4 linked regions of the Drosophila melanogaster genome follow. The protein of the gene in region 3 interacts with the protein of the main gene of each other region in a pairwise test. Each region holds a gene or a part of one and is shown on either strand. Other genes may lie near its edges. The genes, in order: CG7298, Tina-1, CG2246 and drl.

What was found.
Region 1: the proteins of CG2246 (region 3) and CG7298 interact in a two-hybrid assay, tested with the Drosophila melanogaster proteins (one large-scale study listed by BioGRID).
Region 2: the proteins of CG2246 (region 3) and Tina-1 interact in a two-hybrid assay, tested with the Drosophila melanogaster proteins (one large-scale study listed by BioGRID).
Region 4: the proteins of CG2246 (region 3) and drl interact in a two-hybrid assay, tested with the Drosophila melanogaster proteins (one large-scale study listed by BioGRID).

What each region holds. Positions count from the first base shown.
Region 1 is NT_037436.4:20,201,512-20,205,492, forward strand, and holds CG7298 (uncharacterized protein), read right to left. Parts: upstream 2,177-3,981; 5' UTR 2,092-2,176; coding exon 2,085-2,091; intron 1,993-2,084; coding exon 1,403-1,992; intron 1,200-1,402; coding exon 687-1,199; 3' UTR 559-686; downstream 1-558. Other genes in the region: obst-F (obstructor-F), read right to left, coding at 1-86; CG7290 (uncharacterized protein), read right to left, coding at 3,160-3,981.
Region 2 is NT_033778.4:24,940,120-24,944,266, forward strand, and holds Tina-1 (troponin C-akin-1), read right to left. Parts: upstream 2,295-4,147; 5' UTR 2,146-2,294; coding exon 2,131-2,145; intron 2,002-2,130; exon of another isoform or gene 1,323-2,001; coding exon 1,003-1,322; intron 936-1,002; coding exon 767-935; 3' UTR 506-766; downstream 1-505. Other genes in the region: CG2811 (uncharacterized protein), read right to left, coding at 1-275; CG15861 (uncharacterized protein), read right to left, coding at 3,544-3,646, 3,704-3,814, 3,900-4,147. UniProt on the Drosophila melanogaster protein: Putative gamma-glutamylcyclotransferase.
Region 3 is NT_033777.3:30,598,478-30,603,311, forward strand, and holds the start of CG2246 (uncharacterized protein), read right to left. Parts: upstream 3,013-4,834; 5' UTR 2,744-3,012; coding exon 2,724-2,743; intron 1,847-2,723; exon of another isoform or gene 1,442-1,846; intron 820-1,441; coding exon of another isoform or gene 227-819; intron 166-226; coding exon of another isoform or gene 1-165. Other genes in the region: CG31019 (uncharacterized protein), read left to right, coding at 1-165, 227-819; CG31021 (uncharacterized protein), read left to right, coding at 3,808-3,890, 3,949-4,242, 4,292-4,491, 4,550-4,834.
Region 4 is NT_033779.5:19,188,738-19,193,353, reverse strand, and holds the start of drl (derailed), read right to left. Parts: upstream 3,013-4,616; 5' UTR 2,626-3,012; coding exon 2,520-2,625; intron 1-2,519. Other genes in the region: pigeon, read right to left, coding at 3,769-3,908, 4,254-4,478, 4,549-4,616. UniProt on the Drosophila melanogaster protein: Probable coreceptor of Wnt proteins. Involved in neuronal pathway recognition and ventral muscle attachment site selection. Non-vital for development. May be part of a signal transduction cascade involved in learning and possibly memory.

The sequences.
Region 1 (3,981 bases), on a different chromosome or scaffold from region 3:
AGTTCCCAACTTTGGTCCACAGCGTGACCGGCTCCCAACTGGAAGCAGATGCTCAATGCCAGGACATATGCCCAGGAGCATTGCATTGTAGTTAATAGTGCCCTTTACTTCTGATAACGGTTCTTTGCGACTCCAAACTACCTATGTTAATGGTTCGGCCGATTCACGACCGACCCTTTTATAAGGTCGTTCAAATGGGCCACACCCATTTGTAAGAGCTAATCGAAAACTTGTGTTTGCATTCTGCGCAGATCGCAATGTTTGAGTTTTTAGATATCATTCAGTGAAGTGATGCGCGCGATATGCTCACTTCTAAAAATACCAGTCATCTAAATATATCCTAATCAACCAGTTTCGAACGATGTACATGAAGTAATACACTTTCTACAGCCAGATCAGCTGTTATTTCAATAATTTTAGATGATTTCCTAGGAAGCATTGGTTTGAGCCCAGAAAAACCTCGAACTTATCATGAAGAATAGAATATTCAGATGCTGCAAAAGGTATCTCCTTTTGAATTTCTCACATCTTGTTGGGTAAGGAAAATCACCACGATTTGCTTGCGAACATAGCTTTTATTGCATTTATTAGATACTGAATACTAAGTGGTAAATACATAGGGTCGCGTTGTCAGTTACTCCTGTTCCGTTGAGTTCCAACCTGAAAGCCCTTCACGATAATTGGGCTTATTCGGCATCGGTCGTACTATTATCGGTTTCTTCTGATCCTTCGGCGGTGGCTCCTTTGCAGGCTCCGTTCAATGGCACATATGTGGACAGGTCGTCGTCGGACTTGCATCCCTGACGTGACTCATCGAAGAATGTATCGGCCGGGCAGGTGTTCAAAGTGGCCTCGCCCTGGCTGTTGCAATAGTAGTAGGTGGAGCAGTTATTCGAATCGACGGCGTTTACAAACGTCGACGTAGCATACTGGCATCGATTGCATCCCGCCACCGGAGTGGCGACCTGGCGGGACACACAGTACCCTAAACTGTCGTCGTAGTAGTCGCCAGTGGGGCAGTAGGTGGCCACATTTTTGCCGTTCGTGCACACATAATAGGTGCCACACACCTTGGGATCGGCTGACTTGGCACCGTTCGTGGAGCAGGAAACTGCGGCATCGCTCAGCGGAATGTTGGTCACACGGCTGCAGACGGAGGCACTTTCGTAGGTACATTGATTGGCGAGCACGTTGTATGCCTGCGGAAAGAAGTAAATCACATTCACTAAAGGATGCAGGTAATTGTCCAGTATGATCGAGGTGCCTATGAAAGTTCGTTAACTTTCCATATGATTGGATTTCATATCAAGGATGTAAGAAATTGTAAAGATTTGGTTAACGGACTTGTCATGTCTTTTGGGATCTAGGCAGGGATTTAGTAGGTTTGCAATTGGTAACTCACAGTTTGATTGTTTGCAGAGCATTTACCCGACTGCAAAACGAGTCCGGTGGAGGTGGACTCGCAGTAGTGCCAGGTGGAGCAGCTCTCAGTATCGCCGAAATATTGGCCAGGTGGCACGACATCGCATAGTGATTCTAGCACGGTTTCATTAGTACCTTGAGTGTTGGAGCAGGTTCCATAAACGCAGGCGAGTGTGGTGGTATCGAATTTCTGGTTCACCGGGCAGTTTCCGGAGCCCGCCGACTTGCCCTCAAGGCAGTAGAACCATCCACCACAAACGGCAGTGTTTGGCACCCAGGTGTTATTCTTGCCAGCACAGGGATTCTCAACGCCCCAATAGCAGTCCACCTCGCTGCTTGGATAGCAGGAGGATCTCTTGTAGTCGTACGAGTAGCCTGATTGGCACGAGGACTGCACGGGTCCGGTGGACTGGCAGACGTAGTACGTCTGGCAGGATTCGATGCTGCCCAGCTGCGTTCCGACCTTAACCGCCGTGCAGACGGCCGTAACGTTGTAGTTTCCTTCCAGAATCGCATCGCCCAAGGCTTGGCCGCCCATTAGGCACAGGATCGTGGCCAGTAGAAGTTTGCCTGCAAGCCAGAAATCACGCAAATCAATTAGCGAAACTCCTGGTGTTTATTCGACCATAGACCACAGATCATATCCCATGCGAAACACTTGCCTGTCATCGTTAGTTGGTAATACTTTTTGCCGCTGTTGGGGATCGAATACCACTTGTATCGGCCAATGAAAGGTTGTCGAAGACTGATGGTGGAGTTTTCCCATTGCCTGGTTTTTATAGGTCTACGATTCGAACTTGGCCATCGAGATCGTAAATTGAATGTAGATAAGCCCAGCTATTCTCAGGAATTATAGACAGTGAAACATTGTTCCATTTTTTATTTATTCCACCAGATAGACGCTGAACATCTTTTCGGGGTGTTATTTAACCGATTTTAATTAAAGTATAGTTGTATTAACCACTAAGTAGCTCTTTATCTGTCATTATTTCTATCTGTTCCGCAACTTAATAATAAAAAAAAAAAAAAAAAACAAACAACTGACGCAGCCACATCCTTATCAATGGTGTAGGTCTACCTTGGAAAGTAAAACATCGTGTAGTTAAGCCTAGTGTTGTACAATAACTGAAAAGTGGGGTTTTCATTCGATAGTGTTGTAAGATTAATCAAATCAAGGTCTTTTAATCGGGATAATGTTGTGCAATAGAAAACGACCCTTTCTTAAAAATAATATAATATTTTACCCTAATTAATGCTATTCATTTAAATAAGAACTTTTTCTAGCAAATGGTTTAAATTTGTTATATGTATAATGTATGTATATTATGTAACTTTAACAGCTACACCTTAAATTGAATGGACTCTTATCGCTTTTGTATGGCGTTGACGCTGCCCAGTAAAACTTGTTTGGCGATGAAAAACTTTTCGCTCAGGCAATCTTTAATTTCGGCTTTATTGCCCTGCCATATGGGGTCAATAAAGTGTTGATGGTATTTCCTTGGATCTTCTGTACGTCGATGGAAATTTTCCTTTATTCTTGTCGCATTTGGTGACAGTTTTTTGGGCATTTTAGCTCTTTTATTTGCCGATTTCCTATCCGAATTAAGAATATATATCCTTTTTAGAACACTTTACTTCATATACCCTATTACTGTGCGAATAACTTGGGTGGATACTTTTAATTGAGTTGCCAAACTTGATTTGTATTTATTATTTTTGGCATAAATGCTATTTAAATTATTTTTTGTCTGAACTTGTTCCAGTAGAGGTTGTGGATGAAGTTCCAGAGGAAGTCGAGCCGGAGGAAGTCGAGCCCGAGGAAGTCGAGCCAGAGGAAGTCGAGCCCGAGGAAGTCGAGCCAGAGGAAGTCGAGCCGGAGGAAGTTGACCCAGAGGAAGTCGATCCGGAGGAAGTCGAGCCCGAGGAAGTCGAACCAGAGGAAGACGTCGAAGTTCCATCGCTTTGCGTGGGATTGCAGCAGAGGAACTTGGGCTCCAACCCGTTTACGCAGGATCCGAGGTTCTCGTTGAAGTAGTAGTTGGTGGGGCAGCTCTCCACGGCCTTCTGAACGCCGTTCACGCAGTATAGGTAATCAGAGCAATTGGTTGCCGAGTAGGCGTTTACAAAGGTCGCAGTGGTGCCCACACATCTGTCGCAGTCGTTCCTCGCTTCCATCCTGGTCACACACGCCTTCGAGATGGTATCATAGTAGTATCCCGAGGGGCAGGTCATCAGCTGATAGTTGCCGGCGGAGCACAGGTAGTACTGGTTGCACGCGGTGGCTGCGATCGTTGCTCCCGACGAGGAGCATGTGGTCGGAGCAGACACTCCGGTCAGGGATGGATCATTGGTGACCTGGGCGCAGGATGAGGCCATCTTGTAGCCGCAGTTGCTGGCCTGCACATTGAATACTAGACCATCTTCGCAGGATCCCGAGTGCAGAACGTTGTCCTGGCAGAAGTTCCAGCCACTGCAGTCGGAAGGGCTTCCAAAGTAAAAGCCATTCTTGACAAGATTGCATAGGTTGAGGGCGACCGACACAGTGGAGCCATCACCGGC
Region 2 (4,147 bases), on a different chromosome or scaffold from region 3:
GGGTAGTCTTCTAGTATGTCCAGTTTGGAGAGCATGGTCTCGTCCACTTCGTAGACTTCGCCTTCTATGTGGTTCCCCTCACCCGGGCGGGCGAGCAGAAATGGGATGTTGTAGCGGGTTCCGACAACCAGGGGAAACTTCGTTTCCGTTTTCCCCCTTCCAAGGAATCGGGCTTGGCCGTTCTCCTTTTTCGTCAGCCAGTGGTGATTGGGCTCACCGCGCTTCAACGTGCCATACACAAAGACCCTTGCCGCCATTCTCAGCTTTTCAGCCATTGCGCTTCCCGCCGCCAGGCTTATCAGTTTCAAGCGGTATCGTGCTATCAAATCCGACCTGTAGATTGCGCAGTCGACATAACCCGTCCGCTCTTCTTCTTGCTGCCATTCGCACCGAATCTAGCCTCCGTACACCGCGAGAAACTGAAGCCCTCGGCACTGGGCTGTGGAAAATTACCAGGGACTGCTGTCCAGCATCTTTACTTCTATAATAGAACGAGGGGCATTTTATTTTATTTTAAATTGCTTCAGTTTATTTGCTTTGTTTGTCGAAAACTATCAAATTACAGACTACGTTTGCTAAAACCTAAATAATGCGTATGGTACATATGTATCAGTTTATATCGTTTGCCCATATATACGGGTATATATCGATCAGTACATCTGCGTCTGCAAGTACGGTCTTAAAATGCAACTACGGTAACATAAGATTAGTGGCCAGGCTATCCAGAGAACATCCAAACAAACGGGCGACACCACAACCCACGTTATTAGTTCTGGGCCTCGTAGGTGAGGTCGTCCTGGGCCGGATGCTTGTGGGTGCGGCGATGGCGCATAATGTATGGATGGGTGGTTGAGTTCTCGTAGCTGGACAAGTAGCGCAGACTAAGTAGGTTCTCCGGGTACTTCTGCAGCAGGTACACCCAGCATGGAACGGTTCTGGAAAGGAAATTGTGACCCATCACACCACATTGCTGAAATGACGTCAGATCCGACTAATGCTCACCCTTCTCCAACGCCAATGTTCATATCGTGCATCTCGCGAGTGTAGATCTCCTCGCAATCCTCCAGGTTGTCCAGGGAATTCAGCATTCGATCGTCCACCTCGTAGATCTCCCCTGTTACGTAATATCCCACTCCGGGCTTGTTCAGCAGGAAGGGAATGTTGTAGCGGGTGGCGATCACTAGCGGCAGCTTTTGGGTGGTGGTCGCCTTGCACCAGAACTTAGCGAAGCCGTTGCCAGAGCTGGCCAGGATTGAGTTGCTGGGCTGTCCGTACTTGAGGGCGCCGTACACGAAGAGCTTGCTCAAGGCGGAGGAGACTTTCTGTGGAGTGCGTGAGAGGTGGGTGTGGCGTAAAGACAGATAAGTAGGGTTAGGTTAGAGATCTGATAAACTGGTGGTATCTTGTGAGAGTTTGCTCTACTGGTATCAATCGATCGCCGTGGCTTATCAGGGATCAGGGATCCGAACACTTTCCACTGGCTAGCCCCCGCAAGTTATTGATAAGGTTCACGAAACGTCTCGGTGTTTGGCGAGATTCTCAGCTGAACCGCTTTTTGGGCGAGAATGGGATGGCTCAACCGGTTTCGTGCATTCACACGTTTATTCTTAAAGTCTGTTATTGTTGCTAATATATGTACGTAGCTGTTTCGTATTTTTGGGGCTGAGTGCGTGCCTCACAAACTGCGCAGCAGTTACGCCTCCACAGGTACATATGTATGGAGACACTCGCTATCTGTACACATGTAATTGGCACATTAATAATTGCTTAAATCGGTTTAATCATTGCAGTAAATGGATAACACACGCAAGCGGCCTTAAATCAATGTCATCAAACGGTTGCATCAAAGCATCTTGGCGAATCCGCTTACATAACCCAGAACAGGCATCAGCTCACACTCATACATATGTAGATATCTTAAAAATTCCAATAAACTATCTGATAACCCTCCGATGGATCGGATAACTTAAAATGCCTTAAATTTAGTTCCCAAGCTCTCAGGCTTTTACACGCTTTCCATTTGGGGCTGCCCACTTGCCAAGGACGAAGGATAAGGGATGCGTATACACAAGCTAAAAGTGTGCATGTGTGCGTGGGCTTCACATTGTGCTGCACTCTTAATCAGCTTACCTTTGCTTGGCCCATTTTCTTGTCGAACCGCCTGCAGATAATTAAAATTGCAAATTGCTGCACTAAGCAAAGGCGAGAGAGCTCTTCGGGATTGGATAGGATAGTGTGCACGAGCTCCAGCAGAGATACAACCGCGCCGATGGCCAGCAAAACTCCAACTAAATCGTGATGGAGAACAACGTCGGCGGACACGGTGCTGCCGCCTGCCACTGTTGTTGTTGTTATTGCTTCTGGCACAGTGGAGCAAAGTCACAACGTGTTATTGGTTCAACTTATATAAATATATTGCATATGAAAGTATTAGTCGACACTACGTGGAAAAGCAATTCTTAAATAATAATTATGGTATATATCCAATTTCATCAAAATTGGAAAAAGGAAGAAAATATTATTTGCCCTGTTTACTGACTCTGCCCAGTGTGCCTTGTCGTCAAGACCAAGAGGCCCGCCTCTAGTGGAACAACAACAAGTAAAACAATAACACGCCACACGCGCAAAGCTAAAAATGACGGTTCTGCCGACTGGTCTTTATCTAAGAAATATCCTCTGGGGGGGGGTGTGGGTTAGTTGAAATACCCGAAATATTATAGGCCCCGCAAGCACAAACACTCTAAAATTCGGGCATTATCAATGGCCTAATAACATCTGAGCACAGAAGTCCCTCTTGAGATCCACGCTCCCTCTATGATACCCCCCCCTAGCAGCATTTTAGTTCGCTGGCGACGCCTCTGGAGAACACGTACGCATGTCTTCTTCAGTTTCTCTGCTGATCGGTGGGGATCGGAAATCGTATACTGTATATTGTAATATTCTGCACTTCCATGTGTCCGATTTGTTATAAACAATAACAAAGTCTCTTTGTAATTGATTGGTTGATAGGTGGGGGAGGGGGTGCGGCAACAACAACACCAAAACCAAACCAGTTGACATGCGCTCTTTAAAATCAAAATCTCACTGCGCTCTCTGAATTGTGCCCTGCGAAAGGTAAGGCATTTTAGTTTTCGGACTCAATACGAACTATCAAGCGTAACTACATATTGTATATTGTTGCCCATTCATTATGAAAGGGTAAGCACTCAATAAAGTTAGTGCTTCTCATATTTCCTCAGGTTAGATAAATCGATATAATACATATGCATAATGCGTTTTTGAAGTTGGTATTTTAATATGGACAAATTATAGGTTACTTTATGAGGCGATTAAAGCTGTTTTTATATTTTATGTTATTCCTTACAGTTTCTAAAGACAAGATTGCCTTTCCATAAAAATTTTAAATCAATAAAAAGAGTAACATAGTCTTGTAGCTTAATTCATAAATAATCATGAACCTAAACAATAAATACATATATTAAAATCCATACGACATCAGCGGGACCTAAAACAGCCCCATTGCTGTCAAACCTCCTCTCTAGGTCAATAGTTCCCGGAGCAGATGCCGTTGTGAGCATAATGGTGCTGTTTGTGCCGGCAGGCACACAAGTTAGGAGCGAAGCAGTAAGCTCGTGGTCCGCAGTTGCTGGAGGTACAGTTTAGGGCAAGTGTGGCGAAAAGATATAGCGACAATCAAACTTACTGATCACAGATTGGCATGCATTGCTGTCCATGAAGCAGGCTGTCCCTTAGCTCGTATCCCTGGGCACAGATGCACCGTCCGTCGGAGGAGCAGTTGCCATGTGTGCAGCGCCTGGAAATGAGAAAGGGCACATAAACGCATACGTATGTATGTACACTTCCTAAGCGATAAGGTGAGGAGCAAGAATCATACTCACCCAAGGCAGGGGTCCAGCAGACGGGGAGCCCTGTGGCGGCACTTTTGGGAGAGGGGATCAAAGTAGTAGTGCCTGTCCTCACGGCACACACAGAGATCTGGTGCGGCGCAGTAGCCACCTGCCGCCACGCACCCGGGGAGGCACTCTGCGGCACACACCAAACCATCCGGATTACCCGCCATATACTGATCGGCACAGGGACAGGATCCGTCCTCGAAGCACACTCCATTCAGGCAGACGATGTTGCA
Region 3 (4,834 bases):
CGGATCACACGATGTTCAATGCGGACGAACGGAAGGCTGGCAGCATGCGGAGATTCAGCTGCGAGAGACTCAGTGACACGGTGAATGCCTACACATTGGAGGTCTCCATGGCCGGTCACTACCTCAAGGATGGCAAGACCATCTCCCTGTACAACGAAGATGGCTGTGAGTATATGCCTGCAAACTAAGCTGATAGGGTTCCTAATGAGCTGGTATCTTCCTCCAGATTACCGCGTGGGCAGGAATCTGGCCAGGACTTTGCTTCAGTACTATCGCTTCATTAACATCCTGCCCATGCCGATTGTGACAGAGGTCAGGAGCAAAAGGCGGGGGCGAAACCGCCATGCCCACCACTCCCGATCCCGGTCGAAAACCCGCTACGAGGTGAAGCCCCGTCCCAAGACGCCCCGATGCCACGCCCCCATTGCCTACACAAACCTAAGTATATGCTACGATTCGGGTGGAGGAGGCGGATCCTCGGACGAGGGAGGATTTTCGCCCGCCCGTCCCTTGGCTCCTGGAAGCAGTTGCTTTAGCGGGTACCGCAACTACCGGAGGGCCGCCACAGCAAGTTGCTCCGCGCACCCAGGTCACGATCAGTACTCCCCCTTCGCACTGGGTGCCCTGAAAACGGGCAGCGACCACGGCGGAGGAGTTGGTGGCTCCAAGGGCAAGCGATCAGCAGCGGTCACCATCGAAGTTCCCCTGCCCGTGAATGTGCCCCCCAAGCCTTATCTGTCCATCATCGACTTGAATCAACTGACCAGGGGAAGCCTTAAGCTGAAGTCCAATAGCTTCGATGCCGCAGACAGGAGATAGGATCAGTGATGTGATGTGGAACATGATGACCCCGGACGTTAGGGATTCGAAGAGAGTGACGAGTTTTTTTTAGGTATAACCAAGATCAAGTCTTTTCTACGCTTCTTGCTTGTTTTTCTAAATAAAAGGTTGAAACTATTAATTCAAAAGTATTGAACCTTTACTTTTTATTGTAGTCTATATTTTAATAACACCAAATTGATTGTATAGACATTGTACGATGAAACAAGTAATTAGATTGTTTCTGATACAATCAAGTAATTATTACCAAATCTAATCAATAGATTTATGTTAGCTGGGGGTAGGCACTAGAATTTCCATAAATATAACGAATTAGCTTCATATCAGTAGTATTGGGATTGTAAATCTCCTTCTCTTTTGTCCTTCTTCTAAACAAACAGTTATGCGACCACTTTTCACTCGGAAAACCGAAGGGCAACAAGTCGCGCAATTGAGTGGCATTTCGAGTGGGTTGGCTTATCTCCCCAGCATGTATTGTTGTTGTTATGTGCTCTTAATTTGGCTCGCAACCAGAAAGTACAAAATAAAACACATTTCACTCAATTGGCGACATGTGAGCTTTTATCACACCATTTAGATGCGGTTATTTACAGTAACTCACGGCGAACAAAGAACAGAAGTAACTGAGTGGGCATCAATTTCACTCGCTGCGCACGTGAGTGTGAGTAAAATGGTCCTAGACAATCGCTCATCAGTAATTAGATGGATTAGCTGCCACTTTTATCTTATCTTTTATCAAACGCGATATTGCTATAACCTCCTAGGGATATGAAAATGCAATATATGTACAGACTACTCTCACTCACGCAGGAAAACACGCGCGAAAAGTGTTGATAAGAGCACAACTAGCGGGCGACTGATTAACGTTTTCAATTAACACGGAATCGGATCCGGAATAGGAATGAAATCAATAAAAAAAATAGGCAGCCAGACGTTGCTTTCTTACACTTATTTTTCGTATAAATAAAAGCGAATGACTGTGGACACAGTGGAGCGCAAAAGCGAGGGCTGCGCGGCGTTGCCAGATCGCTGGAGTGAGGTAATGGTGGTGGCAAACAGCTGTTGCCGCTTTGAGTGGAATCCAGCAAGGAACTGTACAAGTTACAACCATATTTAAGGTTTTTAAGCATATGTGGGTCAATTAAGTTACTTATTTATCTTTTTAATGGTTTAATCTTCTTGCGTATCATTGTGTTCAAGTGGGTCCGTTAAAAAGTGGTCAATGGAACATGTGGATCACAACAAAGCCCCCAATGAGAGTTTATCTCACTCTCTTAGCTTTTTGAGAGAGGAAATCAATAAGGAACATTAATCGACCGATCTGACTCGCACGCAATTAAATATTCTTATTGAAATATATAGTTTTCATGTATATTCATAATGCCAGTAATTAAAAAAGACTTAATATCATTATAATTCAAACCAAACCAATGCATTTTGTTCAGTGTACACAAGAGAGAGCGTTGTCACGGAAAGAGGAGAGCAAAACAAAGACGGAGAGGCAAACGGCGATGAAGTAACAAAATGAGAACGGCAATAACAACATCGAAAGCGGGCTAAAAATAAAATGCAAACACAAATTCCAGTACAAAAGAAGTAAAAAGCAAAAGGAGGTGGGGTTTTGCTCTTGTTAGCACCAGCACGCAATTGATAAAATTTGGTTAGACAAACAAAAGCTGTAATTGAAAACCTGGCTATAATCTTCGCGGGCACTGGAATAGAACAGGGAAAACGTATTAGAACAGGGAAAACGTATTAGAACAGGGAAAATGTGATGAAGGGTGGGAGGAACACACGCAAACAGCGGGACACTAATTAAATTATACATGAAACACACAGAAATCATAGAAAAAAGCTAGAAATTAGCCGCTAAAAAGTTTTACTTGTTCCGCTGCAGCAGCATGTTGACTTTTCGAAGAATTAGCTGTTTTATCTCGACGCTTATGGATTTATATTCAAGTTTTCTCTTCTTTCTTGCCTAGATCTATATCCTGTTTTTAGCAGTGTTAACAGGCCGAAGAAAGTAGTAATTAATACAGAGACACTATCACACATTCGCCGATTATATTAGCTATTAATAAACGTTTATCAATAATTACTCTTTTCTTCACGACACTGCTTCACTTAATTCGCACTTTTCCGAAAACTCAGACAAAACTGCCACAAAATCCTCGCAATTATTCGAACAGCTGATGAATCGATGATTTCGTATATCGATAATCGACTGAGATTAGTGATGACATCATTTCGATAGTAAGTACTCATTTTATTCAATATGCGTCTAGATTATAATAATTTACATGCATACTATGCATACATTCAGAAGCTGTTTTTTCATTGCGTTTTGAAAGTCCCTGTTCAAGGGCTACTTCAAAAATGTTTCTGAGGCTTTTATTTTCGAAACGAGTCATGCAGAATAGACACAACGACGACGTCATCGTGCTGAAAACAAATAGTAGAGCTGATGTAAAACTCAAATACTACTAAAATGTTACAACAGATAAACAAAAACAATATCAGATGTTTTGTTTACTTCCTAGAAATCAGAGATGTGTGGAGTCTGCTACTTTGCCGATAGTAGCCATCCTTCTGGCAGCACTAGTTGGGTGGAAAACTCCGCTTACTCCAATTCTGGATGGGTGGGTGCATTTGCTAAGTACACTGTGTCAAAAATTGTCTTACTGTTTTGTTTTCGGTATAAGCTTGTAAAAAGGTCCAAAAATTAGTGGTTTGAATTGTATTATGTTTCTTGAATCCAATTTATGGATTTTCCTTGCCGAATTATTTAGTCACAGATATTTAGCTGAGTCGAATGCATTACATTTCGGACTTGGTGTTCTTCATCCTTAAAATTTAGTTTTCTCCAATACCCAACCAATCATGGCTGTGTCATTTTGGCTTGCGATTCTGCTTTTGATCCTTGGCTGTTACAGTTTTAAGGCTCTAAGTGAGAAACAAGTGCGGGAAATGCTGAATCTAGAGCGCAATCTCCTGCAGAATATGCGTGACTATGCCGAAAAGCTGGAGGAGAAGATCGACCTTATAAACAAGTGCGTCAGAAATCCTTTCCCAATCGTACCAATTGAGATGAAAATATTTTTAATATAGTTATGTGGAAGATTATAACGTCGACATAGAAGATGCCAACGAGGATCCGGAGAAGTACCTCTCCAATCCGCTGAACTCCTTCCGATTGATTAGACATATGCACCAGGATTGGGTCGGCTGGCAGGTGTACATGGAGGATCTGGTCGCACCCGAGGCGGTGCAGAAGGTGGAGAGCCTACTGCCGCAGCTTCCTCAGAAGGAAGCCTTCAGGAAAGCGGCCAGGAGTGTGCATAGCTTGACCCAGTTTTACGGCTACGAGCCCGCGGATCTGGTTGCCAAAGATGAACGAAGCAGGTGGGAGTCTATATAAGTGTTTACCATTTTGGAAACTTAATTCCACTAGTTCCTTGCATCTTTCACCTTTGGACTGCTATCACTTGGGACTGGAGCTCTACGAGGAGCAGGACTATCTGGGTGCAGCCAAGTGGCTACAAGTGGCTGCCCATAACTACACCCTCTCGAGGCACAGAGATTTGTTCAATCCACTGGGCGCACCACGCTGGCAGGTCTATCGAGATCTGGGCAGGACCCTACTTAAACTGAGTGCGGTTCGCATACTCCCGGACAAACTAATGGGTATTAACACCAATTTATCTGGTAGATCGACAGTGCGCATATGATGCCTACGAATCAGCACTTCGATTGAATTCCCAAAACGTGCATCTCATGAAGGAAGCTGGACAGATGGAGCTATTCAGCCTAAGGGATCCCATGGAACCCATACTGGATCTTCAGCCAAAACCGACCGTTCTGGAAAAATATTGTCGAGGCGAAGTTCCGCGACATCAGGGTCGTCTGACGTGCGAGCTTAATGACTGGGTCCATTCGTTCCTTGCCTACGCACCCATTAAGTTTGAGGACCTGCAACAGGACCCTTTTATTATCC
Region 4 (4,616 bases), on a different chromosome or scaffold from region 3:
GCAACATCCATGGGTTACATGGATTAGGGAGGGATCTGCTCAGACAGCTGGCAGGGCTACAAAGTTGGGCAAAGTTAAAAGCCCCATTGAGCCAAGTGTGTGGCGGGGGAAAAGTTTTCCGAATGTTATAGGATGTTATAGGTTCTGGCTATATGAATTTAATTGCTTTCCTTGCCATTAACAGTGGGGTGCCACAAAGCCTGGGAGATCAGTGTCCTAAGATGGAATAATGGTAGTTCCCTTTAGATAACGTGTTACCCTTGACTATCCACACCCAACGCCGACAACTTTGGTCACTCATTGCAACCGCAAAATCCATCAACTGCACCGACTTTACATATCCGCTCATTTCGCTAACGAGCTGGGCCACAGAGCCACCGAACCAAGAAGACCCTCGCCACCGCCGCCCGGCTTGATCCACACCTGACATGGTTTGCATAGCATAGAGCACAGCAATTTGGGGCGCACTTCTGGATGGAGAAGTGGGTGGGCCATGGGATGGAACATGTGTGCTATGGGTATGTGTTCGGGTATGGATGTTAGCCTAACGAACAGTGAATGCCATGCCGCAGCTGCATGCAAGTGCATGGAGCTCTTCTTTGGGCGATTCTCCTTCACTCTGCTCCTGGGTTGACAATTTAATTGATGTGCACTCACACAAAGGCTTTTGAAGCGACCGCTAAAAAAATAAAGTGAAATAAAATAAAATAGAGTGACACCTAGCCAGGCGTTGCGAACACACACACAGTGAAGTCTCGGAAAGTAGGTCAGGCATGCAACCCGCTGTCAGCGCTGAATAATTGGAGAGGGTATCGCCACCCAATCCCGAAAGCCCAAAACCAAAAACCAAAAACCCTCTGGGGAAAGTGCAATTGGAGGAGTCGGGAATCGGGCGAAAAATGAATAGCGGCCACCGCTTAATGGGTTTTAATGCTGATTTCGTTTGACACTCGGCTGACACAACTAATAAATTTTCCGCTGCCATGTCAAGTGGAAAGCCTCAACTGGCCATCCATCCCATAGCAAACCATCCCACCCACTTGCCGTATCGCCTTTGATTGATTGTCTGCTGGCGCTTTCAACTGATTGCGAGGTGTGTAGTGGAGCAGCCAGGACTCGGGGGCCAGAACTGCAATCAAACATGAATTACGACGAGTGGCAGACGCTGATAAGCGGCTAGATAAGCGCCTGATTAGCAGCCCGGCACTGCAGTTCAAATATTTACCCAGTTATTCACAAGTGACGCGATGCAATCTGCGTACCTACATACTCCGCACTCCGCACTCCGAAACTCCTGACGCCCATCAATCAGCCGGAGGCACAAACACGCGAGTGTTGTAAATTTTACAACATAATTTTTGATAATTTTTCCCTATCAGCTATACAGCTCCCTGCGCCCCCGATCCACAGAACACACTGCCTACAAAACAAACACTTTGCATGTGTTTTATGATGCCACATGGATGTGGCACAACTTGGGCCGCTTCACCCTTTCCTTTTGGCCCATGGATTGAGGCTACTGATTTATTTTTTATATTCACTGGGTTGTAAATTCTTTGTCTGGGCCCTGTGACACATTGTAAAACAATTTTCCCCACTTTTATTAGCTTGGCAATCTCTTCGACAGGATTTGTGTGTGTTTCTTTCTGGCGGGGAATGGCTTGGGTCCAAGAAGACGAGGTTGGGGATGGGGATCGGGGCGAGGTATAAATATAAAAGTAGATTAAAGGTACTTGGGCTGCGGACTCGAGCTATCCCAAGCCGATTTGCTTGGCCAAGTGGAAACCTGGTTATTAGATGGAGATAAACAAATCTGTTTTGATAAGGGCTAAGAATCAGTCACTCGGATTTTTAAGCTTATTAGAGTAGTATTCTTCTATGGAAAATAGTTAGGCTAAATAAATAATATAAACTAAACTAAACTAAATATTTAAATACTCATTTTGGTGTCATTTTTTGACTACATGATTTTACTATTTATTTTCTTTTGAAGACGTTTATAAAATATATCTAAAATTGTTTTGTATTGTTTTAAATTGGATAAACTATGAAAAAATATGATTTTTTAAATAAAAACTTTGATTATAGAGGGATTACTTATCTAGAGATGAATCCACTTGCCAATCGAATTTAATTTAACGCAAAGAAATACAAATTTAAATCGCTTTAGCATTTCTATTTATCTAGATAAGTCTAACGAACAATTAAATCAAAGAAACAGGAAATCATGCTAGACAAATAGAATGTTTTCTTGTTTCTCGGTGAGCTGGCCAATTGAAGGAGGGACAATACTACTTTATATGTAGCTCCGAGGCTAGAAACAATTAAAAGGCATATATTATTTACGCAAAAAGAGTAAATAATCCCAGCAAGTCGCATTCGTTTGCCCAGGAGACAAAATCCCGGCTTGGCATAAATCAAATTTGATTTAAAGTCGAACGAACGCACACAAAGTGGCAAATAATTGCCCAGTTAATTGAAAAGCCAAAAGGCAGGCGAAAATCAACACGATTACTTACCGATTAGGCGCAGCACCTCGTGCAAGTTGAGGAAAATATTGAGATGGGCCTGACCGCTGGCGATCAGGGTCAAAAGTAATCCGATTGTTAGCAAGTTGGGGGCCATCTTTCGGATTCGATTAATCCGCCGGTTGTTTAGTCGCAATAAGAGGAAGAGATAGTTTTAACTGCAGTTCGGCTACTCTGCCGATTTTCTATTTCCCGTTTGGCACTCGCTAAAACGATTTAATTTCCGCTGCACTGCTGTTCACTTTTTGCGCTGCATTTGCAATTTTACGAGCGTCGCGTTGATTTCAATCGCGCTGATTATTACAGGAATTATTTGTCAGAGCATTTGGCACTTTGCCTTCTGGCCGGGAAAACTCAGGCGCACATATTTCCCAATCAGTCTCTGTCTCTGCACCCGTTTTTCCTCGCTTTTCTCGCCGTTCGTCCGCGTTCGTTTTCCGCGTTTGATCCGCTCACCGTGACGATTTTCCACAAACTGTCAACTGGATAAACAAACACTTCGCCACGAAGCGAATGGCTTCCACGCCGAGCGGAGTGGAGTGTGGACTGTGGACTGTGTGTGGCGCTCGTGGACTTGTTCTGTAGAACTTGAAGGCTGGAACCCGTATAACAGTCGTGTTGGAACCTCGAACTCGGTTGCAGTTCGAACATCTCATCGAACATCTCCAATTGGCTAAATACCAAAACTGGCATACTGTTCGATATCCTTTATTAAATTAACTAAACAAACATTCATATAAAGTTTAAAAAATAGACCCACAAACTTCCCAAATGAATTCGAATTAATGATGTAATATAATGATTTTAACCTTTTAACTTTTTTTTATTGTGTTTGATTCAATTTCGAATTAAACTCATGTTGCCAAAAATAAACATTACGACATTTTATACTTTATAAATCGTTAGTTTATTACAGAAAGAGAGACAGAAGCTTGCAGAAGCATAAAATAAATAAGTACAGAATATATAAATACGTACATGATTTTAGGTACATCAATTAACAACATAAATAATTTATAATTACAGACTTGGAATGTGTATCAGTCGTTACACAAATAATAGGAACAGAAAATTAATACTAAAAGCACACAGAAGAACCCTAACAAAAATCAAAGCTGCACGAGAAGAATCTTAACTAATACATTTGACAAATCAAATCTTTGGAATATTTGCAAACTGGCCTTGGCTAAGTACTTGATAATTTGACACAATACTTCATTAGTTACTCTTAACATTAAATTCAAGCCTCCAGTTTCAGCTGATCGATGGAGCTTAGAGTAGTTTCAATAAGCAGATTGTAGTCCAATTCGTTTAGACTGGCCTTCGCAGTCAGCAGGTCCAGAAAGGAGTCCAGTGGCGAAAGGGCTTCGGCAGTTAGATCTGCAAGAATACCAACCAAATTGGTCATTAGAGAGGTGGCTATGGTTAAGTTAGATAACAAGAAACAAAATGTGCAAATGGGACAACGACTGGCGAACACTGAACAGCGTTTCTTACCGGTCAGCGATGGGAATGTTTTCTACCAGATGAGAGGGCGCTGCCTGAACGCATAGCTCGATATGCTCAGGACGACCGTGGTTAGAATGAAAAGCAGAAAAACCAAAAGCAGCGAGTGACAAACAACAGTGTTGGGCTTGCCCAAAGCTGGACGAGATGTGTTCGGGTGAAGAGTGTACAAATGAAAAGTTAACGTGTTTATGGCGGGCTAACCAAGCAAGATCTTACCGCTCCGCGCATTATTTCGCGATTGATTCACGCAGGCCGTGGGTCGCTGCTGGTGCAACACCTCCTGCTGCTGACCCGACAGAATGTTGGCCGCATGCTCGCGTCCGCGGATCATAAGGCTGTCCGGATGCTGCCAGCATTTGAGTAACCTTTGAGCACGCTGCTTGGGCAGAGCAGACAAAAGTGATAGCTTCCGCTCAATGCCCAGTGGAGAATCTTCAATATCTGAAGGAATACATTAAGCAATAATGAAATGAACAGTATATGAAAACAAGTATATATATTTGTTACAAACCGAAAACAATGGCCTTCATCACATCCACTTGCAGTTCGAACACATGATTTTCCACATACTGCAGAAAC